Rhinolophus ferrumequinum: one gene and its partners. The protein of the gene in region 1 interacts with the protein of each later gene in a pairwise test. Links are inferred from orthologs where the notes say so. Each region holds a gene or a part of one and is shown in the gene's direction. Other genes may lie near its edges.

What was found.
Region 2: the proteins of GOPC (region 1) and HCK interact in binary tests that used the Homo sapiens proteins (3 or more experiments, as listed by UniProt). The two-hybrid records come from large-scale screens. The link is inferred for Rhinolophus ferrumequinum from reciprocal best matches to the Homo sapiens genes GOPC and HCK.
Region 3: the proteins of GOPC (region 1) and RNF183 interact in binary tests that used the Homo sapiens proteins (3 or more experiments, as listed by UniProt). The two-hybrid records come from large-scale screens. The link is inferred for Rhinolophus ferrumequinum from reciprocal best matches to the Homo sapiens genes GOPC and RNF183.
Region 4: the proteins of GOPC (region 1) and CERCAM interact in a two-hybrid assay, tested with the Homo sapiens proteins (2 studies listed by BioGRID and IntAct). The two-hybrid records come from large-scale screens. The link is inferred for Rhinolophus ferrumequinum from reciprocal best matches to the Homo sapiens genes GOPC and CERCAM.

The regions. Positions count from the first base shown.
Region 1 is NC_046286.1:68,269,930-68,277,604, reverse strand, and holds the start of GOPC (Golgi-associated PDZ and coiled-coil motif-containing protein), read left to right. Parts: upstream 1-4,661; 5' UTR 4,662-4,882; coding exon 4,883-5,170; intron 5,171-7,675.
Region 2 is NC_046306.1:22,499,429-22,506,400, reverse strand, and holds the start of HCK (tyrosine-protein kinase HCK), read left to right. Parts: upstream 1-3,954; 5' UTR 3,955-4,249; intron 4,250-6,972. UniProt on the Homo sapiens protein: Non-receptor tyrosine-protein kinase found in hematopoietic cells that transmits signals from cell surface receptors and plays an important role in the regulation of innate immune responses, including neutrophil, monocyte, macrophage and mast cell functions, phagocytosis, cell survival and proliferation, cell adhesion and migration.
Region 3 is NC_046295.1:65,194,064-65,201,655, reverse strand, and holds the start of RNF183 (E3 ubiquitin-protein ligase RNF183), read left to right. Parts: upstream 1-4,574; 5' UTR 4,575-4,634; intron 4,635-7,592. UniProt on the Homo sapiens protein: Acts as an E3 ubiquitin ligase catalyzing the covalent attachment of ubiquitin moieties onto substrate proteins. Triggers apoptosis in response to prolonged ER stress by mediating the polyubiquitination and subsequent proteasomal degradation of BCL2L1.
Region 4 is NC_046295.1:77,277,560-77,285,017, forward strand, and holds the start of CERCAM (inactive glycosyltransferase 25 family member 3), read left to right. Parts: upstream 1-4,440; 5' UTR 4,441-4,525; coding exon 4,526-4,556; intron 4,557-6,465; coding exon 6,466-6,554; intron 6,555-7,138; exon of another isoform or gene 7,139-7,189; coding exon of another isoform or gene 7,190-7,252; coding exon 7,253-7,386; intron 7,387-7,458. UniProt on the Homo sapiens protein: Probable cell adhesion protein involved in leukocyte transmigration across the blood-brain barrier. Does not express any beta-galactosyltransferase activity in vitro.

The DNA.
Region 1 (7,675 bases):
GCAAGTCTTTTTTTTCTCCTTTGACTTCTTTGAGGAGTTCTGTTTGTTGCCTTTTGCATTCTCCATATTCAAAAAAAGAAGTTGAGGTTGATAAAAAGAAAATCTTACTTCTGAAATTGTAATATCTTAATTTTTCAACTGATCACACAAATATTTTCAGCATTCGCACTATATTAAGTACTAACACAGGACCTGCATTCAAAGTAAACGAGGTAGAGCTATTGCTGCCACAGTCTAAGGGGCTCCAAAAAAAATATATGATGAAAACTATAGCAGGTATTCGCAGGAAACTAAATAGGGATGGAGTCCATAGCTTCATATGAAGAGAAAAAAAGGAAGGCTTTCTGGAAGAGGTGTCTGAACTAATCCTAAATCACTGTACCAAAATTCTCAAGTTTTAGGAACAAGAGAGTAAACAATTATTCCATAGGTATATACAAGGCCAGACAATTAAGTTCGCGAATTCATCCTAGAAAAAGTGCTACTACATATCTCATTGCTAAGGTCACCTTTGAAGTACTCCCCTTGTCAAGCTATGCACTGATGCCAGCGCCTAGTCCACCCTTCAAAGCAATTTTGGAACTCTCTTTCTGGAATGGCCATCAGAGCTGTCATCGTGTTACCCTTGATGTCCTGAATGTCATCAAAATGTCTTCCTTTCAGTATTTCCTTTATCTTGGGGTAAAGAAAGAAGTCATGGGGCGCCAGATCAGATGAGTAGGGAGGGTGTTCCAATATAGTTATTTGTTTACTGGCTAAAAACTCCCTCACAGACAGTGCCGTGTGAGCTGGTGCATTGTCGTGATGCAAGAGCCATCAACTGTTGGCGAAAAGTTCAGGGCGTCTAACTTTTTCACACAGCCTTTTCAGCACTTCCAAGTAGTAAACTTGGTTAACTATTTGTCCAGTTGGTACAAATTCATAGTGAATAATCCCTCTGATATCAAAAAAGGTTAGTAACATCATTGCCACAAGTTCGCGAACTTAATTGTCAGATCTCATATAAATGATCAGGAGAATGAGGCCACTAAATCACTGTGGAATGCCCACACGTACTTCATTAGTATGTCTATCACAAAATTTCAAATTGTTAGTAAATATGAATAAATATGACATAAATAATACATATGAATATGATATATTCCAGAATTTTTCCCACATATCTTAAGCAAAATGTTAATGGGTTTTCCTTGGGTTTCTTCTAATATATAAAACAATTTATTGTGACCAATAGCACTTACTTAATAGCTTTTCCTTTTCCTGGTAGGGACATTGGAGAGTAAATGATACTTGTGAAGCTTAATATAGGGCCTGGTATACAGTAGAGTTCATTAAATGGTAGTCCCCCTTTCCAGTCCAAAGTAGAACTTCTATGTCCATTCGCTACAGGGACTTAATGATGCTCTAAGAAATATTTGAAGTCTAATCTCACAGCTAATTACCAGTACCTACCAAAGAAATCTTTAGCATCTTTCTTCTTCAGTTTCCTCAGTCCCCACCCTATTTATTCCTAGCAATACCTTGTGGTGAAACTGTTAGGTAAGTTCCTAAAACAAGACTGTCACATTTAAGTTATGCTAGAAATTTTTAATCATGTAAGCATGATTCCTGAAACAGTTATTGAAGGTTCTGCCAATGCAATGGCAAATATAAGTATAAAGATTTTACCTCTAGGAAAATAAATCCCATAAGTATTGAGATTAATACAATTCCCAATTCCAAAGTAGGTCAAAATAAAAAATGTAGGTAGAGCGCACAGCCAACAGATGGCAGCAGTTGAACATCAAACCCTGCTTTTCACAGGCATGTTAAATTTAACTTGCAGAAATGCAAAACCCCAATCAAGGTGGGTAAAAAATGTCTATAGAGGGCACCTCGTATTTGAATTAGTCACATAGCACCAAGATAGCAAGTATATAGGAATGTGGTAGTTGCTACATAGTATGGTAATGAGAAGGGACAATATGAGATGAAAGTATTCTGAGACACAGGATGTGACTTGTTGAAGATGAAAAGATTGGAAACAGAAGCTAATTGGATTCCACAATCCTGAAAATGGGGGTATTCACCAAGGATCAGAGCACTGGAAACATATAAACACTTAAAATACATTTCAGTACTACCCATACAATATAGCAGGAAGTTGATTGATATATTTTTTAATAGATTCGCATATGGCTACAACTGGGAAGAAATTGTTTCGAAAAACCTTTTTGACTGATTTGCCAATTTATAATACTGGTAACTTATACAAGAAATAGATTCCCTCATCCTTCTATAACCCGTGTTTAACTTTCAAGAGTTTAGAAGAAAAGATACCTAGAGTGGAATCTCACCTCAGTCGGCTTTTAGCTGTATTACTTTAACAAGATACTTAAGTTCTCTGTGACTCATCTATAAAAAAGTGACAATAGCTACCTCACAGGATTTTGTGAGAGTCAAAGAAGTAAACAAATAGCACTTGTTTAACACATAGTATGCACTGCATAATGGAAAGCTATTATTGTGATTCCAGGTTATGTGCCCCACCTCATTTTAAATTATTTGCTCCAAATTCCTGAAAAATACATTGTTAACTATATTATGCATAAAGTTATAAGAAAAAATTTCTGCGAAGGTCCAAATTAATTTACAGCGACTGGAAAGTAAGAGAAAGTGACAGTATTGCTAGTCTGCTAATGGCTGCTGACCAGTTAACAAAAAGATTTCTCACATCCCTGTTTTGCCTGTTGGAATTTCAGATTAATTTCCAGGTGGTTATTTCTGCAGATTATTTTAGCCAGCCACCACCTAACTCCAGGAGCCTCCTCTTGCTCATATGTGAGCTTTCTAGACTGGTGTCCTAGCAGACATTTCTTCATGTGGACTCTGCTATCTCAAAACTTGCCCCCGGGACTTCACCTTTCCCCAACTTTTTGCCTACAGCTCATGTAAATTCTTTCAGACTATCTCCTTCTTCCCCCTCTCCCATATTTGATGTATAAAAACACTTGCAAAACTCTGGGACGACAGACATGTTGTCTTTTCTACCTAGCCATGCTGCTTGCTGGTGGTTCAGACTCCATGCTCCAAGACCAGTCTTTTGGCTAGCATGTTTGGGTCAATGAAACACTACTTAAAGAAAGACCTTCAGCCATGGAAGTTAAAATTTTTTAGTTTAACAAGAGAAGGTGGCTGGGAACTTGGTAGCTATAGTAATGATGTTCTTGCAAGTACTGCAGATGAAAATAAAGTTAATTGGGAAGGTAATGGAGCAAGACACAAATTTTATGTTATTTCTTGTGTGTTAAAACCTATATGAAGGTGCCTATTTCAGCTCAAGGAAAGGATCTCATGGTTAGTTTTGCTTAGCTAAGTTTGCTGAACCAAGCCAAAGGACTTTATTGACCGATGCTATCCAGTCTGCCATACAGTACCCAGAGAGCAAACTAAAGCTATGATTTCTTATTCTTCATTGGCATTGTGTTGGCAAGGGGTACACAGTGCAGGCTTTGGTGGTAATGAACTGGAAGAGTCTGTCCCATGAACAGATCACAGAAGAGTCTGTAGCCTGCCAGTAAAATTTCCCCCTAGGCAATGGAGAGGCAGTTCCTATCAACCTACACTATTCAGATTGGTTTTTCCTTCGTTTTCCAAGACTGGGCTACTCTTGAGGTGGAAGGGGGTTGAAAGTGAGTACGCAGAATAGCAAAGAGCAGTTGCTAAACACTCTCAAAGGTACTGCAAAATTCAAATTAAAGTTGTAGCTTTGAGGATTAGACTCACTGGCCTCTGAGCTCTGCTTGAGTGTTACGTATTATTCCATTTTGTATCCCCAATGCCTCAGCAGGGCTCTGCATTCAATATATTTATGAATATATAGATCGTCATAATTTTGTTTTTCTGAAATGTCATGTGTGGGAACACTGTACCAGTTTTTGAAATAAACACACCGTTTTAAGTAGTTTCTGGAAATGACCTGTAGTGTAATAATAAAGAATACCAAATGCCAAGCACTGAAGCTAAGCATTTTACATTACGGAGTGAATTTTGGCAACTGAGGCTTCAAGATTGTATTCAAGAGAATACAACTAAGATGGCACAGCTGATATGTTACAGGGTTTAAGACTTGAATCCAAGCTTGCCTGACTCTTAATCACAAGACAAAACTATTAATTCAGCAAAACCTGGTCAACCACAGTCCTTCAATGTGCAGAGTCCACTGTGAATTTAGGGCCTGGTTTACCAAGATGAGCCAGTGTGTCCACCCACCCCACCCTAACCAGGAACTGGGATGTTCAAGGTAAAACGTGGCCTTTGCGCAGGCTCACACGCCCATCCTCACTCTCCCTTCCCCGCCTACAGGGCGTCACCGCCACAACTTTCCCGGACTTTAGAATGGCTCCCACCCACTGTGAAGTCAAACAGGCGGAAGTCGTTCCTCTGGGCGACACATGGACATCCTTCTCTTCCTCTGGCCTTTCCAAATTGGAGGGGACACCATGCCCCTCCGTTTCTCCCGCATTCAAGAGGGAGTTTGCCAGTTGTCAATATGGCCGCTGACGGGCCGGTCCCCTGCAGAGGCTTTTCATAGGCCAAGGTCGCATCTTAGCCCCGCCCACTACGTCCCTCCGGCTGCTCCCGCCTAGGTCTTGGCTGCGCATGCGCAGTCGGGGCTGACCGGGTGGTGGGGCTGCTGGATTCTTCCGTGTGCCACCGTCTCTTCTTCAGGGTGGCTGCTCCTGCCACTTCGGGGCTGCATTGCCAACGTTAGCCGCGCGAGGGGAAGGGACGGGACGGAAGGAGCGTGCGTGCACGGGGATCCTCACAGTCCCAGCAGTTCCTGTAGCGCGGGGTGGGCGGTGGGGGTCAGCAGTAGTCGGCAGTGGCCCTAGACGGCGCCATGTCGGCGGGCGGCCCGTGCCCGGCAGGAGCCGGAGGGGCCCCAGGGAGCGCATCTTGCGCCGTGGGCGTCTCCCCCGGTGGGGTATCCATGTTTCGGTGGCTGGAGGTGCTGGAGAAGGAGTTCGACAAGGCCTTCGTGGATGTGGATCTGCTTCTAGGCGAGATCGATCCGGACCAGGCGGACATCACTTATGAGGGGCGACAGAAGATGACCAGCCTGAGCTCCTGCTTTGCGCAGCTTTGCCACAAAGCCCAAACTGTGTCCCAAATCAACCACAAGCTAGAGGTGAGCTTTGGGCGCTGGACGGGGCGGCATTCAACTGCAGTCATCAGATCGCGTCAGTGAAACGACCCTAGAAAAGTGCCCCCTGGGGCACCTGGGCTTTCAAATGTCAGGGAGAGTGCGTCTGTGTCTGTGTGAAGGAAAAGAGGGAGGTGAGGTTGGAGTGGAAAGGGGGTGTAGATCGACGTTAGGTCTCCCTGGGTCCTGCCATCCACCTTCCTTCTATATCTAGGAGGAGGCAACAGGAACGAATTGCACCAACCTACATATTACATTAAGCTAAGATTTAAGCTCAAAGATTCTGTCATAGGAATACCTTCGCCCATCTTTTAACATTTGGGTTTTTAGATATACTTTCACATTGATAAACTAGGTTTGTATATCCAGACAGATACTGTCCTGATTATTTTTAACCATTTCAGATGAACGTCTGTTGTTGCACACAGACATACTATTCCCTGCATGCATGAACTATTTAGGGGAATTTGATAAAAGCGCTGAGGAAAATTTAGAGGGATAAACACAATAGTATCAATGTCCTTCTCGGTTTACAGTCCTTAAATTACAGGCGACACCACCAGAGCTCCCTACAATCATTCAAATGACTTCTAACATTGAGATTTTGTTTGTACTTGACTATATTTCCAAAAGTCAGGATTTATTTTTGAGAGTGTGTGAACGATGATCATTTGCTTTAGTCTCTAATCTTGGTTGTGGTTGTGGGTGGAGTGGTGGTGGGTACAAAAAACAAAAACAAAAAATCTACCACATTGTGCAGAAAATTAAATTAGCGTATTATTACAATATTTAGAAATCATCATAGGTTAACATTGCATAAAGAGCTTTTTCTAACTAGGTTATTTTAAGTGTAAGAATGGGTCTTTCATTTTAAAGTACATAAAAATAAGATAATCAATGATGTGCAAAGCTCTTTGAACATTAGGTTTCCTAAGAAATCATCATTGCTACTTACCAGTTTTAATAAGAGAATGCCCATTGGATTCATATCAATATAAATATCAGATATGCATCCTCTCCTTGCATAGCCATTAGCATTCTTTCTGTTTCCTGTTAGTCATGAAAAAGTTGGTATAATTTTTGATTAGTATAGAATTGCATATCAGAAATTTTGTGACTTCTCCAATGAAAGGACTGTTAATTTTTTTCCATCTGTTTTGAAAAGGTTGGAATGGAAGTGCTAATATGAAGCCAATCACTTTTTCTTCTAGATATATAAAAATGTCTCTTGATTTCTTGATTAGTGATAGTTTCTAGAAGATAGTTATTTTTCCAGGTAATGAAATTGCATTTGATGATTTTTATTAATAGTACTCTAGTTTTAAATAACAGAGCAAGAGTAGGTTTTGCCACATGAGAACTTTCATATCATTTACAACGGAAAGTATCTACTAAGGATAAATAGCTTTTAAAAAATGAAACAATATCTAATTCATGTTTTAAATGACTAAGGAAACTTTAACAGTGATATTTTGATGTAAGATGTAAAATCTAATTTTGGGAAAAGGATAGTTCTCTGAGTAGGAGGTGGTGCTTAATTTCTTTCATCTTTAATATTTTACATGAGGATTCAGAGCTATAATAAATTATTCATGTTCTTTTTTCCAGAAATTATAATTACGTATTCTGACTCCATGTCCTGACTTAGGAAGTAGCGTTATTTCTCGAAATAAGAAATGCTAGCCTATCATAATGTGAGCATACATTTTTTTAACATGCTTGAAACCCTTGATATAAATGTCTTAGAAAATGGGAGGGGAAGAGGCTAAACATGATTTTTTTGTTCGTATGTTTTTTCAGTTACAGTTGCTCATCTCTTTGTGGGGTTAACCTTCTACATTTAGTAGTTTCTACAGTGTTTATGAAATTAGTTGTGTATTGCTGAGGAGAGCTTCATTGTCAGTAGTGCCTTTTCAAAGTAGATCTGCTGTTATATCATTTGCAAAATTTCAGAGGTTGCTCTGTATAATGTTATCAATCTTCTGAGGTTTTGAAATCTCAGAAACACATGTCCATGCTTTCTTGCCCTATTGTATTTCTTAGTAAGTGGATTGAATTCTGTTGTTCGAAAGATTTGGACATGAAGGCATACTGTTTGAGGCCACTTACGGTTTGATGTATAACAAACGTGCACCAAAGTTTAAAGTTCACTGGTTTTAGTGATTAATACCTTAAACCACATTACCATAATAAAATATTTTTGTAATAAAGTCTCAGATATCTCCAATTATGGATAACTTACATTTCAATTGGTCTTGAGTGCTCTTCCAGACTGCCCCTTCTTCTACCCAGTCATCGTGTCTTTAGGTAGCACCATGTTTAATATTAATGTCGTAGTTAGGAAAACAATGTTGCTGCCAAAAAAAAAAAAATCATAGGTTACATTTAAAAATTAAATATAAATGACATCTATGACTGCTTCTTGCCATAAGTTATATTTGGGGAGAGGGATGTTTGTAAGAGAATGGGGAGGGCAACGAATTTCAGAAT
Region 2 (6,972 bases), on another chromosome or scaffold:
TTTGATGAAGTCCAGTTTATCTATTTTTCTTTTGTCAATTCTATCACATCTAAGTAAGCTTTGTCTAACCCAAGGTCATTAACATTTACTTTTAAGAGTTTTATAGTTTTAGCTCACACATTTAAGTCTATGATCCATTTTTGTGAATAGTGTGAAGTAGTGGTCCAACTTCATTATTTTGCATAGGAATATCCAGTTGTTCCTGCACCATTTATTGAAAAGAATATTCTTTCCCCCACTGAATTGTCTTGGCACCTTTATTTTGAAAGTCATTTGGCTATCATTGTGAGAGTTTATTTCTGGACTCTCAATTCTGTTCCATTGATGTGTATGTCTATCCTTATGCCAGTTCCACACTATCTTGATTACTATAGCTTTGTAATAAGCTTTAAAATTGGGAAGTGTGAGTCCTGCAACTTTATTTTACTTTTTCAAAATTGTTTTGGCTTTTCTGGGATCCTTGCATTTCTAAATGAATTTTAGTATGAGCTTATCTATTTTTTTTAAAAAAAGAAAAAGACATCTGGGGTTTTGATAGGGATTATGTCAATCGATTGGGGAAGTATCATCATCTTCACAATATTAGGTCTTCCAATCCATGAAGGGATGTCTTCTCCATGAGTTATCTTTCCCATCTCACACGATGACTTTATTTGGGTCTTCTTAAATTTCTCTCAAGAATGTTTCTTAGTTTTCAGACTATCTAGCACTTCTTTTGTGAAATTTATTCCCAAGTATTTCATTTTTTTTGGTGATACTGTAAATGAAATTTTCTCCTTAACTCTATTTTCAGATTGTTCATTGCTAGTGGATAGAAATACAATTAGTTTTTATACATCCTTATATTTTTTGACAATTGCCTGGTACTTGGTTATTGTAGTATCATTTATTTTTTCCAGTCCCCAAGTGATGGATATTTAGGTTATTTCCAGTTCTTTCCTAGTAAAAGCGGTGCTGCAGTGACTCTCCTTGTACATACCCATGACGTCTCAAACATTTTGATCTTTTCTTTCTCTGAGCTCATACAATTGTCAGTTGCCACCACCCTGGCCCATGCCGTCATTATCTTGCCCTTGGATGACTGTCTCAGCCTGTTCACTGAGTTCCCTCTGGTCCCTCCAATCTGTTCTCCACCCAGCAGTGAGAGAGATCCCATTAAAACACAAGCCAGTGTGGCTTACTCCTCTGCTCAAAACCCTCCAATGGCTCCCGTCTCGTGTCAATTAAAGTACACTGTCAATACCAAGACATTCATGGCCTCACAGTCTGGCCCCACTACCTCTCCACCATCATCTATATCATGCTCCCTGCACCCACTCTGTTTCAGCTACACTTGCCTCCTTGAATTCCTTAACAACACCAAGTGTGGTTGCACCTCAGGATCTTTGCTATTACTATTCTGCTTAGAACACACTGCCCCCAGATTATCACATGATGTATTCCCCCAGTTCAGCAGGTCTCTGTTCACATGCCCTCTCATTAGAGAGGTCTTCCCTGGCCACTCTATCTTAAGTCACACTATCACTCCTTCCCCCATCCCTGCTACCTCTCCCCTTGCTCTGCTTTATTTTTCTTATATATATATATATTTTTTTATCACCCTTGGACATAAGATGCTAGTTGAGTCTCACAATGACTCACTGAGCTAAATACCATTATTATTCCCACTTGACAGATGAGGAAACTGAGGTCAGAGAGGTGACATGATTTGTGCAAGATCACTCAGCTGATAAATGGTAGTGTCGGGGTTTGAACTCTAGTCTGACTCCAAAGATGCAATATTTAGCAGCACTTCTTATGGTCAGCTATATTCCCCATGATGAAAGAAAGAAAGAAAGAAAGAAAGAAAGAAAGAAAGAAAGAAAGAAAGAAAGAAGGAAGGAAGGAAGGAAGGAAGGAAGGAAGGAAGGAAGGAAGGAAGGAAGGAAGGAAGGAAGGAAAGGAAGGAAGGAAGGAAGGAAGGAAGGAAGGAAGGAAGAAAGAAAGAAAGAAAGAAAGAAAGAAAGAGAGAATAGACAAAAGGTTTACCACCACAAATACTGGTAAGACAGTGTTTTAGGATAAAATTTGTAATTGTATAAATGTTTTTTGAGTTAGAAGAGTTAGAAGGGAAATATTTTTAAATTAAAAATAATGACAATACCAAACTGGCAAGATATAGAGAAACTGGAAACCATACATTGCAATTGGTTGAATCATTTTAAAAAACAATTTAGTAATTTATTATAAAGTTAAACATACACTTACAATATGATCCAGCAACTCTAGTCCTAAGTATTTAACCAATAGAAATCAAAACATGTCCACACGAAACCTTGTACATGAATGTTCATAGCGGCTTTATTCATGTAGCCCCAAACTGAAAACAACCCAAATGTCCACCAAAAAGGAAATGGATAAACAAATAGTGATGCATTTATACTATGGAACAGTATTCAGCAGCAAAGAGGAACAAAATACTGGAACACATAACAATATGGAAAGTCTCAGAAGTAATATGTGAGTAGAAGATGGCAGACATAAAAGAAACATACTGTATGATTGCATTTATGTAAATTCTAGAAAAGACAAAGCTAATCTATAATTAGCTTAGGTAACCAATCAGTGGTTGCCACAGGGTATAAGGGAACTTTTTGGGGTGATAGAAGAAGTGTTCTATATTGATTAGGGTGATGGTTACACAGGGGTATACATTTGCCAAAACTCATCAAGAGGAGTATTTGTAATGGTGCGTTTTATTTATAAAAGCATTGTATAATAAAATTGATAGGAGCTTTGGAAACACGTACAAGGATTTATACTGCAGCATTACTTTAATAGAAAAAAAAAAGCAGGAGAATGTTTCAGCGATCTATGGTCCTTTGCCGTCACAACGGCAATCTGTGGAAGAAGACGTAGCAGACACTGACGGTGACCCTCTCATGTCCCCAGAACCTGTATCTCTCTTCCTGGAGGCGGGATTTCTCGCCCCCTCCTTTTTTGAGGTCTTCTGAACTGCCAGGAAACCGGCCAGGAATGAAACAGGGCAGTTCTTGCGGGCGAGGAACTTTGCATGGCGTTTAAATAGCGCGGGGCCTGTGGAGCGGAAACCGCTAACCACAGAAGGGCCAGGAAGGCTTGGGACGCGGCGTGGGGGAGGGGAGGGCTAGAGGGAGAGGATTGAACGGTGGGGGAAATAGATCAGAATGCGTGGTGGGGAGGGCGGGGAGAGGGATTAGAACACCGTCAGAGTGAAGAGGGTGGGGTTAGAATCCTTTGATGAGGGGTAGGGGTAGGATCCCTGGAGGCCGGGCTGGAATCTTTGGATGGACCGGATTAGAATTTTGGGGGGAGGGGCGTGGATTCCAATCCTTTGGGTACAAGGCTGGGATCGCCCAAGAGCGGGATTAGAATCCCGAGGTTAGGGTTATAAATCTTGAGGGCTGGGTTAGAATTCTTTGAAGAGAGCAGTGGGATTCTTCGGTTGACCGGGTTAGAATCGTTGGGGCAGGATTAGAAACCTTCGGTGAGAGAGGTTAAAGACCCTTCAGATGTGGGGTTCAAAATCGCTTGGGGCAGAGTTAGGATTTTGGGATGAGGAGACGGGGTTTGGGATTTTGGGGGGAATGGGTTGGGATCCTGGGGGTGGGCTTTTTAATCCCTTTAGGATAGGGTTAGCGTGTCAGGAGGAGGTATTAGAATTCATTAAGAGAGGATTCATTAGGATACTTGGTGGGAGGGGATGGGATCAGAATCTTTGGAGGAGAGGTTAAAATTCGTGGGGGCGGGGTTAATATCCATCAGGGACTGAGTTAGGATCCTTGGGGGAGCAAGGTTAGAGCCCTCCGACGGGAGACGGGCAGTGTTAACAAATCTTTAGGCAGCGGGATTAGGATCCTGGGAGGTACGGGCGGAGATTAGGATCCCTGGGGTGGAGTTAAAATCTTCCGGGGGCGGGGTCAGCATCGCTCCGGGCGCGGCTAAAGCGCTCAGATGGCCTGTGGGCGCCGCCGAGTACGCGGCACCAGCCCAGGCATACCGGGGAAGCCTAGAGGCCAGGCGGAGAGGGACCAGGGCAGGTCAGCGCCAGAGAAGCCCGAAAAGACCCGCGGCACGGAAGCACCTCGCAGGGCCGCCCCAGCCTCGTCTTCAAACTCAGTCGGTCATCCTTCGGGCACGGGCCCTCTGGGACCCCGGGAGCTGCTGAGCTGGGGGGGCGCTCGAGCTGCGAGGATCCGGGCTGCCCGCCGGACGAGCAGCGGGCGCCCAGGTGAGTGCCGGACGGGGAGACACCCGCCTGTGTGCTCAGACTGAGGGTCTTCCCGCTGCGGAGGGAGCCCGAGTGGTGGGCAGGGTAGGCTGGGGTGCAGGGAAAGGGACCGACAGGCGGTGGGATGAGGGGCAGACCGAGAAGAAGGGTGCCCAGATGAGGGGCGGAATTCCCCAGCTGCCAACCTGTGAGAGTTGGAGCAGAAGGGAAGCTTGGCCGCCGAGTGACTATGCTGGAGCCGCCACTTCTCTGTGCTGTCCAGGTTCCCCTTCTGAGAGAGAGAGGAGAGAGAGAGAGAGAGAGAGAGAGAGAGAGAGAGAGAGAGAGAGAGAGGATGGGGCTTCACGAAGGCCCGGAGGGGAAGGCCCCTACGGTTCCTGGTGGGGGTGGGTGACGGGTCACGGCGGGTTGGCAGCTGTGGGGAAGGGGACAGCTGGCTGTAGGCGCGACGTGCGAGCCACACCCAGGCAGGGTTGCAGCTGGGAACGCTCGCTGCTCTTCCTCCTCCTCCTCTTCCCCCTCCCCCTCCCCTTCCCTCTCCTCTGGGCTCTGATCTCCAGCATGTCTAGTTCAAACCCCAAAACCTCATGAACAGACCGCAGGATGTCTGCCTCACCACTTTCCTCTTCGTGAGACCTTGGTCAAGTCATTCTTCCTCTCTGAATTCCAGTTTTCTCATTTGTCAAATGGAGCTATTAATTCTTTCTTCCAGTGTTGCAGTGAGCTAGAGTATGTTAGAGTTTCCTGTATGTGGGAGACAGTTAGTGCCGTAGTTAAGGAAGGGGGCTTCTGGGAACAACCTGCCTGTGGGACTTTGGGCAGGGGGTTTGGTCTTTCGGTGCCTCCGTTTCCGCAGTTATAGGATGGATATAATAATAATAATGGCTCCCTCACAGGGCTGCTTAGCTTGCGTTACTGAAGGAAAGCTCTTACAGCACTGCCTGACAGGTAGGTATACATGCTTAATACACGGTAACCATGGTCATAGTTATCACGGTCTAGCCCAGTGGTTCTCAAACTTTATCAGACATCAGAACCACCTGGAAGGCTTGTTAAAACATGGATATCTGGATCCTGATCACAGTGTTTCTGATTCAGTTGTTCTGGAGCAGGACCTCGAGAATTTGCATTCCCAGGAGAAGCGGACGCTGCTGGTCCAGAGACCACACTTTGAGAACCACTGGTGTAACCTGTGGCCAGCACAGAGAAAGGCCTCAAATAACAGTTCCCTTATTCCACAGCTTTCTTGTCACTGTCCTTTTTTTTGGGTGGGAGGGGTTAAAATACAAAAAAGTGAAGAGAATAATATATTACATATCCCAGGAACCCACCATCCAGGATTAACAAATGTTAGTGTTTCGTCACGTTTGCTTCAGGTTAAAAAATAAAATTACTAAAAGTAAGATAAAATTAAAACCTCACCACACTGTATTCCTCTCAGTTCTGTTTCTCTCCCTGCCCACAGACAACCACTGTCATGAATTACAGCCCTTCCAGTCTGTGCCTTTATAAATTTATTACATATACATGGATGCATATACAATACATAGAATTCCTTTCCATGTCTTAAAGACCTATGTAAATGCTATCGACCTGTGAGATTCTTCTGCAATTATCTTCTCCCCCCACCTTCCTATTAAGTTGTCAGAGTCTAGCCAGGATGAGAAAGAGAGGTCTAGTTCATTCCTTCTAAGTGGAGTGCCCAGCAGTTGACCACCTTACCTTAGTTCTCATTCCCCTGTGGGTGAACATTCAGTTATTCCAGGTGTTCATGACAACAAACAATACTGCTGGGATCATCCTGAATGTGTGGCCTTGGGCACATGGGCAGGTGTTTCTTGGGGAAAACACCAAGAGGATGGATGGCTCTCTAGATGGCTCACCTTTGACCCTCTCCTTTTGTGAGAGAGAACGACTGAGACCTGGAAGGGTCACCCAGGGAGTCTGGGGCAGAGAACAGAGAAGAATCTGGCTCTGCTGACCTCCCAGCTCTTTCTAGACCCAGGGCCACTGTCCCAGGTCTCCTGCTCTCCATTGCAGGACAGATCTTCAAGCATCTCATTCACTGTGCCCAATACTTAGTAGACACTCAGACCATGGAAACATAAATTTTTCCATATTTTTTAATTTGTATAACAAACATTTTATTTTATTTTTATGTAGTCTTCTTTTCTGTGCACTTTTTATTTAACATAATTAATTAGTAATATGCTGCATACAGAATTTTTATTCTACTTATTCACTTGTGTTACATTGTAAGCATTTTTCCATGTCATTAAAATGTCCTTGAATTTTTTATGGCTGCATAATATTCCATTGTTTGGATGTACAAAGCATTTTTATGTAGTAATATTTTTTTGAGGTGAAATTCATATAACATAAAATTAACCATTTTAAAGCAAAAAAATCAGTGGCATTGAGTACATTCACAGTGTTGTGCAAGCACCACCTTTGTGTATTTTCAAAACATTTTCATCCCCCCAAAAGGAAACACCATACCCATTAAGCAGTTCCTCCTGTGCCTTTCTCCCCCAGCCCTCGGCAACCACCAATCTGCTTTTCGTATCTATGGATTCATTTATTTGGGATATTTCATATAAACCGAATCATGCAATATGTATACACCTTTGGTGTCTGGTCGACGTAATGTTTTCAAAGTTTATCCCCATTGTAGCATTTATCAGTATTTCATTCCTTTTTACAGCTGAATAATATTTCATTGT
Region 3 (7,592 bases), on another chromosome or scaffold:
CAGATCCCACTGGGAGAGTCACTTAATATATAGTAAATGCAAATTACCTACCTAAAATATGAAAAATTCTGAAACCCATCTGGCCCCACCCCACCATTTTTTTTTTAAAGATTTTATTGGGGAAGGGGAACGGAACTTTATTGGGGAATAGTGTGTACTTCCAGGCCTTTTTTCCAAATCAAGTTGTTCCAAGTCAAGTTGTCTTTTCAATCTCTTTCAAGTTTTTTGAGGAACCTCCATACTGTTTTCCATAGTGGCTGCACCGCTTTGCAATCCCAACAACAGTGCAGGAGGGTTCTCTTTTCTCCACATTCTGGCCCACATTTGCTCATTGTTGATTTATTAATAACGGCCATTCTGACAGGTGTGAGGTGATATCTTATAGCGGTTTTAATTTGCATTTCTCGGATGGTTAGTGATACTGAGCATCTTTTCATATGTCTATTGGCCATCTGTATGTCCTCTTTGGAGAAATGTCTATTCAGGTCTTCTACCCATTTCTTAATTGGATTGTTTGGTTTTTTGGTGTTGAGTTGTATGAGTTCTTTATAAATTTTGGATTTTAACTCCTTATCAGATGTATATTTGGTGAATATCTTCTCCCACTTAGTAGCATTTCTTTTTGTTTTGTTGATAGTTTCCTTTGTTGTGCAAAAACTTTTGTTTGATGTAATCCCATTTGTTTCTTTTCTTTTTGTTTCCCTTGCCTGAGAAGATATATCAAAAAAAAAAAAAATCACTAAGAGCAATGTCAGAGAGTTTACTGCCTATGTTTTCTTCTAGGAGTTTTATGGTTTTGGTCTTACATTAAAGTCTTTAATTTTTGAGTTTATTTTTGGTGTAAGAAGGTGGTCTAGGTTTTTTTTGTTTTTGTTTTTTTGCATGTATCTGTCCAGCTTTCTCAGCACCGTTTATTGAATAAACTGTCTTTATCCCACTGTGTATTCGTGCCTCCTATATCATAGATTAAATTACCATATAGGCATGGGTTTATTTCTGGGCTCTCTATTCTGTTCCATTGATCTATGTGTGTGTTTTATGCCAGAGACATGCTGTTTTGATTACTATGAGTGCTCCTCACATTTTAATGTGTTTCCCGATCTCCTAGGGATCTTGTAATAATACAAATTCTGACTTAGTAGGTCTGGAGTGGGCCTGTGGTTCTGCATCCCTAATACTGTCCAGGTGACACCGGTGGTGCTGGAACGGTCCTGCACTCTGGAAAGGCCTAAAACAAGGTTCTGAGTAATGAGTGTGGTGCCCCACAGGGAGAGGTGCCCCTTACCCTTGGTGGGGGCACTTGCTAAAACATTGATCATCACCCGACCAAAACCTGACTCCTCGTGGCCTTTTCTCCATCCTCCACTGCCATCTGTGCCTCTTCTGCCCCAGATGGGTTCAACCACCCAGCCCCCCGCTCCAGACCTTGGCTGGGCTCCACCAAGTCTCAAGACTCTTCACTCACCTGGTTCCTAGGTACTGCTTACATGAGGTGCTTTTTCGGCTGGCTGACCTCAGACCCCAAGCATGAACTAACTTAGTTCAACTCTCAGATTCCTTAGATGACTCACTATCTCTCCTGGGCATCTCCCCCAGAAAAGTTTTCCATGGTTTGAAAGGTACTCCCTAGCCTCTCTCACCCAGAGATGTGATGATAATGCATTTGCTCACTAAACAATTAGTGACCTGGAAAGTGCCATGGTTTATTTTATTTTTATATCAATGCTTGCAATACCCTGAGAGACTTCTTATACACCCTGCTTTTCTTTTCAAGTTCTAGATTCCCTGGTTGCAGAAACTCAGATTTACGTACTTTCCAAATGAATTTTCCTACTATAAAAGTAATACATATTTGTTAATGGAAATTTAGAAAATATAGATAAGAAGAAAATGGCAACACCAGTAAGCCCACCATCCAGAGATAACCGTTGTAATATTTGTCTCATGGCTTTTCAGCCTTTATATGTAAATCTTGTTTTACAACATCTGCCTCATACTACATATACCATTTTGTAGACTGCATTCACCCATTTACAGTACATTGTGACATTTTCACAAGTCAATCAAAATTCTCCTATACATCATTTTAAATGATTATGTAGTTTGCCACTAAATTGATGTGCTACAGTTGGGCTTTCACATTTTTTTTTTAATCATTTGTGGCTAAAATAAAACTGTGATGAATGTCCTTACTTAGCAAAAGATGTAAGCATGTTCCGATTCTGACACCAATTCCCAGGTGTGTGTAATTTTCAACACCATTAAGTAATTCTCCAACACTAGCTGGGTGTCCTACAATTTAACTCAATTCTGACACTACTTACCTGGAGAGAGCATCAGACCCAGAGGTGATGGGTTCAGTACCACAAGACTGCCTCTTCCCCACGCACGGTTCAGACACCAAGTGCAAATCCAGAGTGTCACCTGTGCTTCCGACCCACTGGCTTAGATCAGAGGTCCTCACCACACCCTCTTTGGGCTTCATTTGCTAGAGTAGCTCACAGAACTCAGAGAATCATGTACTGATGTTTACCAGCTTATTATAAAGGACACAGACGAATAGCCAGATGGAAGAGACGCAAGGGGTGGGTGTGTGGGAAGGGGTGCGGAGCCTCCGTGCCCTCTCCATGCTGGGCACTCTCCCGGCACTGCCATGTGTTCATCAATCCGGAAGCCCATCCTTTGGAGTTTTTATGGATGGAGGCCTCATTATATAGGCACGCTAACTGTTTTGTTTTGTTTGGGGGAGGCAGCAAAAGTTATACTCAGACTGATTTCTGTCTTTGCCAGCAATGTATTTAGCACAGATTCACTGTGGGAATTATAATTTCATAAGCCAATAGCACACAGGATCTCTCTTAAGCTGAATAAAGAAATAACATACTCCCAACAAATGACAGCTTAATCACACTATTGTTCCAAGCCAGGGGAGGTGAAGGAATAAAGTCCAAATTTAATAGGAAGTATTCCTTTATATACAAGTAGGAGAGTCAGTGACCAACCAAAGAGCTGATTTCCAGCTGCCAGAGCAAAAGTTCCCTGTTGCTAGAGCACGTTGCTAGGAAACAGAGATGCCAGTGTTGGTGGTGGGCAGGGTGATCTCCTTCCTGGACGCTGCTCCATGTATCACCATTGTCTTTATCAGCAGTCTTTCACCAATGCCTTGCTAAGATGGGAGTGAATGCCCCAAGGGTCTTCGGAGAGTTTTTAAGGTTAGAGCAGAGTCCCCTCACCCAAACCCAAACTCTCAAACAGTCCTCACAAACTCTCAGTATTTCTCATCTACATGTTTCCTTGCTACCGTTGCTTCTCCCACATATCGATAAGCCCCCCGACTGCTAATCAACAGCAGATGTAGAATGATGACATCTTGGCATGACTTATTTCATTCTTGTAACAAAAGCAATTTTTTTCTTTGTCACAAACGAGCGTATTAAAACAACTTCAGTGATAAGCTGCTAGATGTAAAATCATATTAAATCTATCTGTACACAACACTAGGTACACAACACTAGGTACACAACACTAGGTACACAACACTAGGTACACAACACTAGCAAGTCCAGACTGGATTCTGAGCGAGACCTTGACTCTGACCTGGAAGTCTGACTTAAGAACCCCGGCTCTGTTAGAGCTCCATGCTCCAAACTCCGAAGGCTGCCGGTTCAATTCCCACATGGGCCAGTGGGCTCTCAACCACAAGGTTGCCAGTTCAACTCCTCGAGTCCCGCAAGGGATGGTGGGCTCCGCTCCCTGCAACTAAGATTGAACACAGCACCTTGAGCTGAGCTGCCTCCAGGATGGCTCAGTTGGTTGGAGCGCATCCTCTCAACCACAAGGTTGCCGGTTGGACTCCCGCAAGGGATGGTGGGCTGTGCCCCCTGCAACTAGCAACGGCAACTGGACCTGGAGCTGAGCTGCGCCCTCCACAACTAAGACTGAAAGGACAACAACTTGAGACTGAATGGCACCCTCCACAACTAAGATTGAAAGGACAACAACTTGACTTGGAAAAAAGGCCTGGAAGTACACACTGTTCCCCAATACAGTCCTGTTCCCCTTCCCCAATAAAATCTTAGGGAAAAAAAAAAAAAAAGAATCCCGGCTCTTCATGCTATGCTTAAATTCCTCTCCCTGACTGCTTCTCTGCAGGATTTGTTTTTTTCACAATATTTTGCAAGAGCTCTTTGCATTTTGGTGGTAGGGCTCAGAGTAGGGAAGTGTCTACCTGGGCTGAATAGCAGAAATGGTGTCAAGAGATACCCTACTTTCCTGTGAAGGCAGTCAGCGCGTAGAGGGCAAGTGCAATCCCAGATGGCGGGCGACCAAACCCACACTGAACAGAGGCCCGCAAGATGAATGGGCTTCAACTCCCTTTTGAGAAAAAGCAAGAGCGACACATAGGAGGAAGATGAAACCAAAACTTCCAGAATGTCCCCTGTAAGCACTGACAGTCCAAAGTCATCAGAAGGAAGTGGGGAACCTGAGATAGAGCTGGCCGGGAGTGGCCTGAAAACTCATGCAAATGAGACCCGCCCACAACTGACTGGAAACCAGTCCAGAAGTCAGAGCACATGCTGCAGAGCTGCACTCCTGAAAGGAGAAGCAGGAGGAGGGAGGCTGTGACAGAGAAGGTAAGCAGCCAGGGAGGGTCATGGAGGGCTGGGTCACAGTGTCCCGAGCAGCAGCACAGCCCAGGGGAACACTGGCCTGGGAGACAAGGCTCCTGGGATCATTCAAACTCGTGAGGCCTTGGACAAGTCATTTCACCATTCCGAGCCTTGGCTGCCCCATCTATAATACAGGTATAAAAATATTGTGCTGACTAGGTGTTATTTCAGTGCCTGCTGTGCCTCGCTGGGCACATTCTGACATTATGCCTTCCTCACAGCAACCCTGTAAAGTGGGATTATTAGCCTATTTGACACAGGAAAATGAAGCTCAGAGAGGTTAAGCCATTAGTTGAAGACCTCACAGCAAACACATCTGGTTCCAAAGCCTGCATACTTTCTCCTCCCCGCCTCCCTCTTTCACAGGGTGGTTTTGAAGAATCAAATGGCCTTATGCAAGTGGGAACAAAGCTGTAAAAGGCATTTACCGTCTATGTCTGAGTCACCACACTTAGACCCTTAGCAAGAACTGGGGCTCTCTGTAAACGGTGCAGTGCTGTAAAATGCTCTCTCTCGAGGTGGAAAATGTTGGGGTGATGCTACAGACAATATCTGGCAAACTGAGTTGGTCATAGACAGAGGCGATGCCTTTGGGGTTCTGTTTAGGACTTGCTGTAGCTGAGGTGTCTTCGCTTGGGGGTGAGTAGTGGGTGGCTGCTCCTGCAGAGTCTCCTGCAGAGGCTGGATTCTGACCGGCTGATCCTGAAACAACAGTGGATGCCTGAGTGTACCACAGCAGATAAGGGCTAAGATGTTGATGCAACCTTGATCTTCCCTCCAGAAAATATAGGTCGGCTTTGAGGGGAAGAGGAGGTCCTTAAGAGGAGCAATACAAGCTTACTGTAGTCAAGTTAGAATTTTCAGATAAGATCATTAAAAAAAAAAATCACAAACACCTATAATCTTATCCCCAAAGGTAACCATTGTTGACATTTTGATGTTTGTTATTCCAGACATTTTTTCCATTGGGTACATATATGGGAAAATTGGATTATATTCTAACATGGTTTTATTAATAGTTCTTTTCATTTAATGACATATCGTGAACATATTTCCATATGAATAGATGTTTTATCACATCATTTTAAAGGTTGCAGAATGTCTCTGCATATGGATGGAGCAGAATTTATTTAATCAATGTCCGTCTATTAGATAATTAGGTAGTTTTCAATTCTTCACCATCAGAGCCGTGCTCTATGGTATCTCTGCAATGGAATCTTTGCACAGCCCCCTAGTATTTCCATGGGATAGATTCCCAGTGGGGGAACTGCTGAATCAAGGCAACGTACATGTTAAGGCTTTTGATGCAGCACTACAGGTCTGCTTCTGGAATTCCGGGAAGGAGGAGGAGGGGGAGGGGCTCCTCAAAACTCAGTGCAGAAAACGTTTTATAGCCTCTAAGTTGGCCTTCACCCTTCCTCTCTCTCAAATCCTTTGGCAGCGATAATGCCAACCACCTCATATATGGTCGTTCCTGGGTGCCAGGCTCTATCTGAGACCTTTACCCTCTGATGTACTATATATTTCTAGCTTCCTTTTCAGAAGAAGAAAATGAGGTGCAGAAAGGTTAAGCAATTCAACTGGAATCATGGGCCTAGTAAGCAGTGGATTTGGGTCACGAGCCTTGACAACGAGGTTCCAGAATCTGTGCTGTCCAGTTTCTGGGGAAGTGCTTTTGATTCTCTCTCAAAGATATCATTTACCTCATGCCTTTGATCTTCCTGCCATCAGCTGACCTACTCAAGCACCCACATACCAGCTTGGAGCACTGCTGGAGACCCACGGCTGGGCTTCTCTTTCCACTCTGTCCCTTCAGTCTGTCCTCTGCTCTGCCATGGAATGAAATGGAAACAGGATCAGGTCGCCCTCCCCCCACCACACCTCCCCACCCATCCAGAATAAATCCAGATGCATTTCCCAGCTTGCAGGGCTGGCCTCCTCCCTCTCTGGCTTCATCCTGAGCCTCTTTCCCACCCCAGCTCCACTGGTTACACCTCAGTTACCCTGGCCTCATTTCAATCCCTCAATTTGGCAGAACTTTTCTCACCTTATGGCTTCGGTACATGTTGTTCCCTTGACTTAGAATATTCTTCCTCTGCTCTGCACTGCCAGACTCTTATCCTTCAGTCTCAGCGTTCATGTCACTTCTTTGGAAAAATCTTCCCTGGTACTCTCATCTGAGGCAGCCATCCCCTCGCCCACCAAAGCCCATTTTCCTTGTTGTCCTTTATAGCAGTCATTAAACTTATACATTTATTTAGTGCCCGTTAGTCATGAAACGTCTCTTTCCCTCACTAGACTTTAAAGACCATGAGGTGAAAGACCATGTCCATTTTGTTCACCATTATTGACCCAACGTCTCACACAGCACCTGGCATATAGTGAGCACTCAGTAATTCGGTAACTTTGTAGAACGGATGAATCGTTCACAGAATAAGGTGTTCATTGGTAAGGATCCTTGGTAAACTATCCCAGCTTTGGTCAGAGCTGTTCCATCCTCCTTCTGCAGGTCTTCAGTTCCTCTCCCCTATGTGGAGCGGTAACAGGTCTAGAAGAAAACCAGGAAGCCATACGTGAGAGAGTACAAGCAGGTTTTGCTTCAGGTATCAACTCAGTCAAGGTAGATAACGTCATAGCAGCGGCACAAGGGAGACTCACTGCCCCCAAGTGCCCCCTGCACAGTTCCTGGATTCCTACCACAAGAGACCTGTGGCCATGAGGAATCTCCTGAGAAAATACAAACACATCTAGTTAATAAGACACATCCAGCAGGTAACTGCATGGTTGCGTGTTCTGCCTTTATGATGGCACCGGTGGTGAACTACTGGCAGTCCTAGTGTCACTAGCTGGGTGACCTTGGGTGAGAGTCACTTTTTGCCTTCCATCTGCAAAGTGTGTTTTTAGGACAGAGAAGTGGTTTTT
Region 4 (7,458 bases), on another chromosome or scaffold:
CCACCATCTGAAAATGGACAGAAGGTTATTGTCCCTCCCTGCAGTCCTTTGTCTGCCCCAGTTCCAGATGTCTAGGCTGGGACCAGGGAGCTGACCCATGGTGGGCAGGAGGGAGGGGACAAAGGGGGAGAGCACGGGTCACTGCATCCTGAGGGGTCGTTCCCAGACCCTGAGATCCCACCCAGCCGAGGCCCAGTCACCTTCTGGGCTGTCTCAGCCCTGGGATTGTCCCTGTTTCCTTGTCCCTCCTCCTCTTCCACCAGACCAGGGGCCAGCTTCAGGAGGGAAAGCTGCAGGGGTGCAGGAGCTAAGAGCAGGGCACCTTGGGGCCCCCATAGCTCTTCCTGGTAACTGTGATCTTGGGTAGTTGTGCCCTTCTCACAGCCTGCTGTCCCCATGTAGGTACCACTGGACCAGGGTTCATTCATTAACAAAGTAAGGACAGAGGCCTCCAGCTCTGTGCCGGGTGTGGGGATGTACAGTGGTGGGTGGGCCATCCTGATCCTTCCAGATTGGGGTTAATGGTCATAATAATAAGAGGTAATATTGCCACCCACTTTCTCTGTGTTGGATACTGGCCTAACCGCTCTACCTGCGTTATCTCATCCTTTCACAACAAAATTGAGGAGACCGTAGGTACCGCTCTTATATCCATTTTCCAGCTCTGGACACTGAAAGTCTGACAGGGAGAGCCTCTTGCCCCAAGCCAGCTGCCAGGAAGCAGCAGAGCCGGGCTCCTCGCCCAGGCCGACTGCCGCCACCAAGAGGAATGATCTGCTAATAAATACTGGGAAGGTGTTGAGTGCAGAGCCTGGCACAGCTCCAGCCTCAGGCTACGGGATCTGGTGGTGCTGGCGGTTCCACCTCTTAGTTTTCCCATTTCACAGATGGTGCCACTGAGTCCCAGACCAGGGAAAGCCAGCCTGCAGGGAGGAGCTCGGGGAAATTTAAATAGCAACACCAACAGCGATTCTGGAGCGAATAGGGCCGACCAGAGAGAGGCAGGCAGCCCCCTGTCAAACCCCAACTCTGTGTGGACTTGGGCAAGTGACTTAGATTCCCACGCCTCAGTTTCCTCATCTGTAAAATGAAAATATTCCCTACATCACAGGGTTGTTGTGAAAATTAAGTTAGATTACGTATTTAAAGCACTCAGCACCATGCCTGGCACACAGCACTCAGTTAATGATAGCTATTATTATTATAGTTCCGAACGGGGTAACAAGTATCCCTTTAACTTTCTCTCACCTGGGGTCACCTGAGGACAAGGCTCTGTTGAGGGGAGGGGAGCAGGTTAGCAGTCATTTATGGGGGTGTGGATAGCAAGGCTTTGTCTTCTTGAGGTCTCTAGACGTCTTGTGACCAGCTACTCCTGTGGGTTAGGGGGAAGGCAGAGGGGCTGGACCGGGAGGGGAAGGGGTGTCTGGGCCCAGAGGAGTTAACAGCGCTCAGGCTCTGGCCCAGGCAGGGCTGCCACGCTGCAGCCGGTTAGGCAAAGGAGCCAGGGCTGCTTCCTGATGGGCAAAACAGCTGGCGGTCTGGAGAAAACAGCTGGCCCGGGCCCCAGCCTCCTAAGGACAGAGGCAGAGCCTCAGAGGACAGCTCTACACTGGGGTCCTGGGAGAGGGAGGCATGGCCAAGAGGGAGAGTCCTTTGGAGTGGGTGTGGGTGTTGGGTGGGACTGCAGGAGATCAGAGTGCGTGGGCAGATTCCTGGAGCAGAGGCCAAGGTAGGCTAGGTCTAAGCAGAGTGGGCAGGGTGACTCCAGCTGGACTGGGAGGTCTCTGTGTCCCCTCAAATAGGAAAGATGAGGGGAGCAGATGGGGGGCAAGCCTGCACTCAGCCCTGGGTCTCTGGGACCCGGGCTTGGAACCTGAGGTGGGAGCCCAGGCGGGCCTCCTGGACTCCTATCTGCCGAGCTGCCCCCAGGACCAGAAGCGGGGCGTGGGCTCCTCCTTTGGCCAGGATGCTGGGCTCCCTTGGCCACAAAGCAGGACGGGCCCAGAGAGCCCCCAACCCAGGCGACGTGAAGCTGGCAGCTGGTAAGAAAGAGCTCCATACAAGCATCTCCTTGACTGTGGGCCCCTGTTCTCAGGCTGCTTGACTGCCAGGCTGTGAGGACCCCGAACCCTGGGGCTCTGTCTGGGCTTTGGGTTACCTCCAGGCTGCCCCCAGCCTCTGGCAGGGAAGCTACACCTGAGACTTCGTCTGAGGTTGAGCAGGGTAGGCAGAGGGTTAATGGCAGTGTGGCCAGAGTCAATTGGACCAGAGCCACCTTCCTGGGTTCCTGACCCCCAGTCCCAGAGGCCAAACACCCCTAATTTCTCTCTGACCAAGGGGTCTCCTCTAGCCCACCTTCCTAACCTCCTGGAAGAGGGGATTGGCCCCCACCTGGGGTGTGCCAGCCTCAGCGATCCTCTCCCTGATGAAGGCCACCCGCAGAGCCCTTGCCAGTGGGCCGGCCTTGGAGCTGAGGCTCCCAGCGGAGAAGGCACTGGGGAGGGGGACAATTCTGGGGTCTCTAGTTCCTGATGCCAGAGTGAAGCCTGAGGCGCTAGCTCCACCACCTGGCCTCGATCAGAACTACAATATGGGAGTGCCGAAACCCAGAGCTGCACTAGGTGTTCTCCAGGGTGGTCTGGGCCCTATTCCGACAGATGGGCCCAATTTTTTTCCAGGCATGTATTCCACATGACCCGGAGGATGAGGGCTTAGGCCCATGGAACAGCAGCTTCAAGGCTCCTTGCTTTAACCTCCACTCGCAGAGTTTCTGATTCTATAGGTATGGGTGGGGCCTCGGATTTTGCATTTCTAACAATTTTCAGGGGAGGTTGATGCTGGCTGGACCAAGGATCATACTTTGCAAACCTGCTTTAGAATTGCTGTGAATTTGGCCCAATATTACCTTTGTGGAGTATGTCTTATTATTATATTTGGGGGCAAAAAAAAAAAAGAATGTCAGTGGGAGTACAGGTGCTTGATCAGCCCACTTCTGCAATGACCTCCTCGTATTTCTTTTTTTTTTTAAAAGATTTTATTGGGGAAGGGGTACAGGACTTTATTGGGGAACAGTGTGTACTTCCAGGACTTTTCCAAGTCAAGTTGTTGTCCTTTCAGTCTTAGTTGTGGAGGGCGCAGCTCAGCTCCAGGTCCAGTTTCCGTTGTTAGTTGCAGGGGGTGCAGCCCACCATCCCTTGCGGGAGTCGAGGAGTTGAACCGGCAACCTTGTGGTTGAAAGCCCCCACTCCAACCAACTGAGCCATCTGGCACTGGCCCATCCCACCTTCTCCGGTCTTCTGTATTCAGTAACTAGCCCACCATCCAGCCCGACTGCAAACCATGTAAGTCATCCTAATTCCTCGCTTCATCACCCACATCTAATCCCATTACACACCTCAACCCTGCCCCCTGTCATCTCTCCCTGTCCGAGGGTATCCCGGCTTCCATCCTTGCCCCCATAGTCCACCCTCTGAGCTGCAGCAAGAGCAATCTTTTTATTTATTTGTTTGTTTGTTTGTTTTTATTTTTCCAGGATCCATCAGCTCCAAGTCAAGTAGTTGTTTCAATCTAGTTGTGGAGGGCGCAGCTCACAGGGGCCCATGTGGGGATCGAACCTGCAATGTTGTTGTTAAGAGCACCGCGCTCTAACCAACTGAACTAACTGGCCACCCCAAGAACAATCTTTTAAAGACAAATCATGTCACTCTTCTGGTTCCCCCCGCCAATGTCTTTTTATTGTACTTCAAAAAAAATGTCAAAATCCCGCCATGGCTTCAAGGCCCTGGATGGTCCTCACATCTCACCACACTCCCCCGCCTCACTTTGCTCCGACCGCCCAGGCCTGGCTTCTTCCCACCGTAGGACCTTGGCCCCACCTGCTCCCTCCACATGTAACAGTCTTCCCCCAGAGCTGCTCCTGGCTGGCTCCTCTTATGCTCTGTGATGTCTTCTCTGACCCCTCAGCTCAACGTTACCACCCACCCCCCAGCTGTTCTCTGTTCTTGTTAACTCGTTTTGTTCATATAGCCCTTACTGTTCTACCTACCTTTTCCCTAGTTTTGGGGAAACTACCTACCGTGTTTCCTCAAAAAATAAGATCTAGCAGGACAATCAGTTCTAATGCATCTTTTTTTGTTTGTTTGTTTGTTTCTAATGCATCTTTTGAAGCAAAAATTAATATAAGAACCAGTCTTATTTTACTGTAAGACTGGGTATAATATAAGATAATATAATATAACCCAGTCTTATTTTACTATAAGACTAGGTTAATATAATATAATATAATATAATATATATAATACCAGGTCTTATATTAATGTTTGCTCCAAAAGATGCATTAGAGCTGATTATCCAGGTAGGTCTTATTTTCGGGGAAACACAGTATTAATTTATCAGTTTGCTTGTTTCCTGTCTGTCTCCTCTCACCGGAATGTGAGCGCCTGAGAAGCAGAGATGGTCTGTCTCGGATACCCCTATACCTAGAATTCTACCTGTACCTAGCATGTACTCCATAAATACTTGCTGAATGAATGGGTTACATAGGATGCCGTATAAGGGTATGTCCCCCCGACGTGACACCAGGGAAAGCTTTCCAGAGGAAGGAAGTTTAAACTGAGATCAAAGGGCCTGTAGGAGTTTGCCAGAAAGACCAGTTCAAGCAGATGAACGAACAACAAAAAAGGATGTGGGAAGGTCCTAAAGCATGGAGTGTTCTGGAAACTGTACATAGTCCAGTTTGGCTGGAGCAGGAACTTGGGTGGGAGGGGCGGTCAGAGGAGTTGGGAAAGCATCAGGTAGGCCATACAGGGCCTCATTGCCCCTTGAGGGGTTTGAGCTCTATACTGAGGGCAGGCCTCGGCCCCGTCAGGGTGTTAATGTCAGGCATTTTAGAAAGGACTGCTGAGTGCAGAATGGTTTCCAGGGAGAAAGTGGGGTAGGGTGGCGTGGGAGGCTGGGAGGTGCAGGGGCCCGGGTGAATGTTAGGTGCTGATACCCTGAGCCAGGCGAGTGCCACATACAGGAGACGTTGAGGAGGTGGTCTTGCCAGGATGAGGGATGGACCTGGTTGAGAAAGAAGGACTTGTCATCAGTGACACCCAGGTCTCCAGCTTGAGGGACTGGGTAAGTGGAGGTGCTGTTCCCTAGAGTGGGGAGGCCTCCAGAGGGGGAACAGGTTTGGGGGAAAGATTGAGGTTTTGTTTTGGACAGATGGAATTTGGCTCCAGGGGGGCAGTTGGGACACATGTCAGTTTTCCAGAAACAGGGAGTGGTCCATGTGGTCAGCTGCTGAGGAGAGCCCTCTTGGGTGAGGAGAAAGTGTCCATTGAAGGAGTGGCCAGGAGGATACTGGTCTTGGCAGGAGCGGTTTGGCTGGAGCAGCCTGGGCCTGTGTCGAGCAGTGAACAGAGATGAGGAAGCAAGACTGGGAACAAAGCACAGATTCCCCTATCAAGAGGTTTGAAGGGAGAGAGAAGCAGGGCTGCAGCTTGGTGTTTTTGTATTTGAGGTTGGGGGAGATTTAAATCCTTTGGAATGTGGAAGGAAAAATCTAGAAGAGAGGGAGGTTGGCAATTCAGGAAGGGCAAGGGGATGGCATTTGGAGCTCAGGAGTGGTTCTGTTGTGCCGAAGTAACAACATTGTACCAGCCAGTGTGAGCAGAGGCCAGCTTGGAGACAGAGGGTGGAAGGTTTAGGGGCTAGAAATGAGAGTTCCCAGGTGGTAGCTTCTCTTTTCTCCAAAAAGTAGCAGCAGGGAGAGGCCTTAGGCCTTCCATTGCAGGGCCGCTGGCCAGAAAGCACTCCCTCCCTCCTCCGCCCCCGGAAGCTTCAACTGGGGCCTGGAGGAGGCTTTGGAGCCAGGACTCCTGGCCTCCAGGGTTCCACAACCCCACATTCTGTCCCATCACTAGGCAGGTTCATTCCTTGCTGAACTCCCACCTCTCTCCTCTCAGTGGAAATAGTATGCACGGGCTTAGCCCTCTTCCCTGACTCTGGGAAGAGGCTGAAGAGAGACCCAAACCTGCCATAGGAAAGTAGGAAACCTTCCTGGTGGGTGGGTGGGGACAGTGAATGAAAGGGGAGCCTGGCTTCCTCTTCAGTCTTGTCTTCCAGACTCAGGAATTCTTCCTGGAGCCAGGCTCCATGCAGAGAAGCTTCAAATGCATTCATTCTCTCAAGGAATTCTTGCAATCTAGCCCAAATGAGGACCTGAGGCTCAGGGAAAATGCCCTGCCGGAGGTCCGTGGCAAATGTGAAGCTGGAACCCTCCATTGGTGTCTCCAGACCCCTCACCTTTCCTGCCCTCTCCTAAGAGAAGCTGGAGACCCTTTCCATCTCAGCAGAGCCTAGGACCCCAGCTCTGCCCCAGGGAAGCTTGCTTTGGAGGGGGGCTAGGACACCGTGAAGGGCTGTGTGGTGCCCTCTTGGTTTGCACTCAGTCTAAGAGTGAACTTTGCTCTCTTAAAGGACCGGAGCAGTGCCAGTGCCGCCGACTGAAGCGAGGGCGATGTCGCACGGGGGACGCCAGGCTCGGACTGCAGAGGGATGGCGCCCAGGTCAGGGAGACAGACCCCTTCCCCGCCCCGCAAGCCGGCTCTCAGGCCCACGCGACGCCTCGCTTCTCTGCGAAGTTCCATCTGGGCCCGCCAGGGGGCGCCCGGGGGCGGTGGAGGGGGCGGGGCCGGGGAACCCCGGAAGGGCCGAGCGGAGTCTATCCTGTCTCGCGGGGTGGGCGGTTGAGGTCCGTGGGACTGAGGTCACAGGGATCCGGATTCAGGGGCGTCGGGTGCTCGGTGAAGCCGGATTCTGGGGGTTGCACGCTCAGGGATTTGGAGTGGCGAGTTCGCAGACGCCGGGGCGGCTCGGATGCCGTCACCCCAGACCCTCCCATCTTTCCCCCTTTCTCCCTCCGGCTTCCAGCCGGGCGGGGGCTGCTCCCGGGTTGCGTCTGGGGCAGGTCTCCCGGTCCTGGCCCTGCGGTGCCCCTGGCAGAGGAAAAGACACTTGAGAACCCCCGTATAGGGGTAGGGAGTGAGAACCCACTCTTGGGGGGTACGTGCCCCCAACTCCTCCTCCTGGCCGCTTCGGCCCCACCCCGGCCCCGGGCCCCGCCCCGGCCCGGCCGCACCGCCCACTCCCCTCCGCCGGGCCGGGAGCCCCGGGGGCCGCCGCCGCCGCCCGAGTGCCCGCCATGCGCGCTGTCCCCGCCGCCGGGCTGCTCCAGCTGCTGCTCCTGCTGGGGCTGCGGCTCCAGGTTGCAGGCGTCGCCGAGCTGCTGCCGCCCGCCGTGGTCCTTGCCATCCTGGCCCGCAATGCCGAACACTCGATATCCCACTACCTGGGCGCGCTCGAGCGGCTGGACTACCCCCGGGCCCGGCTGGCCCTCTGGTGAGAGACCCGGGCATTGGCACCCACTGAGTATTTGCCCCAGCCCCAGGGACAGCCCCTACTGTCCAGATG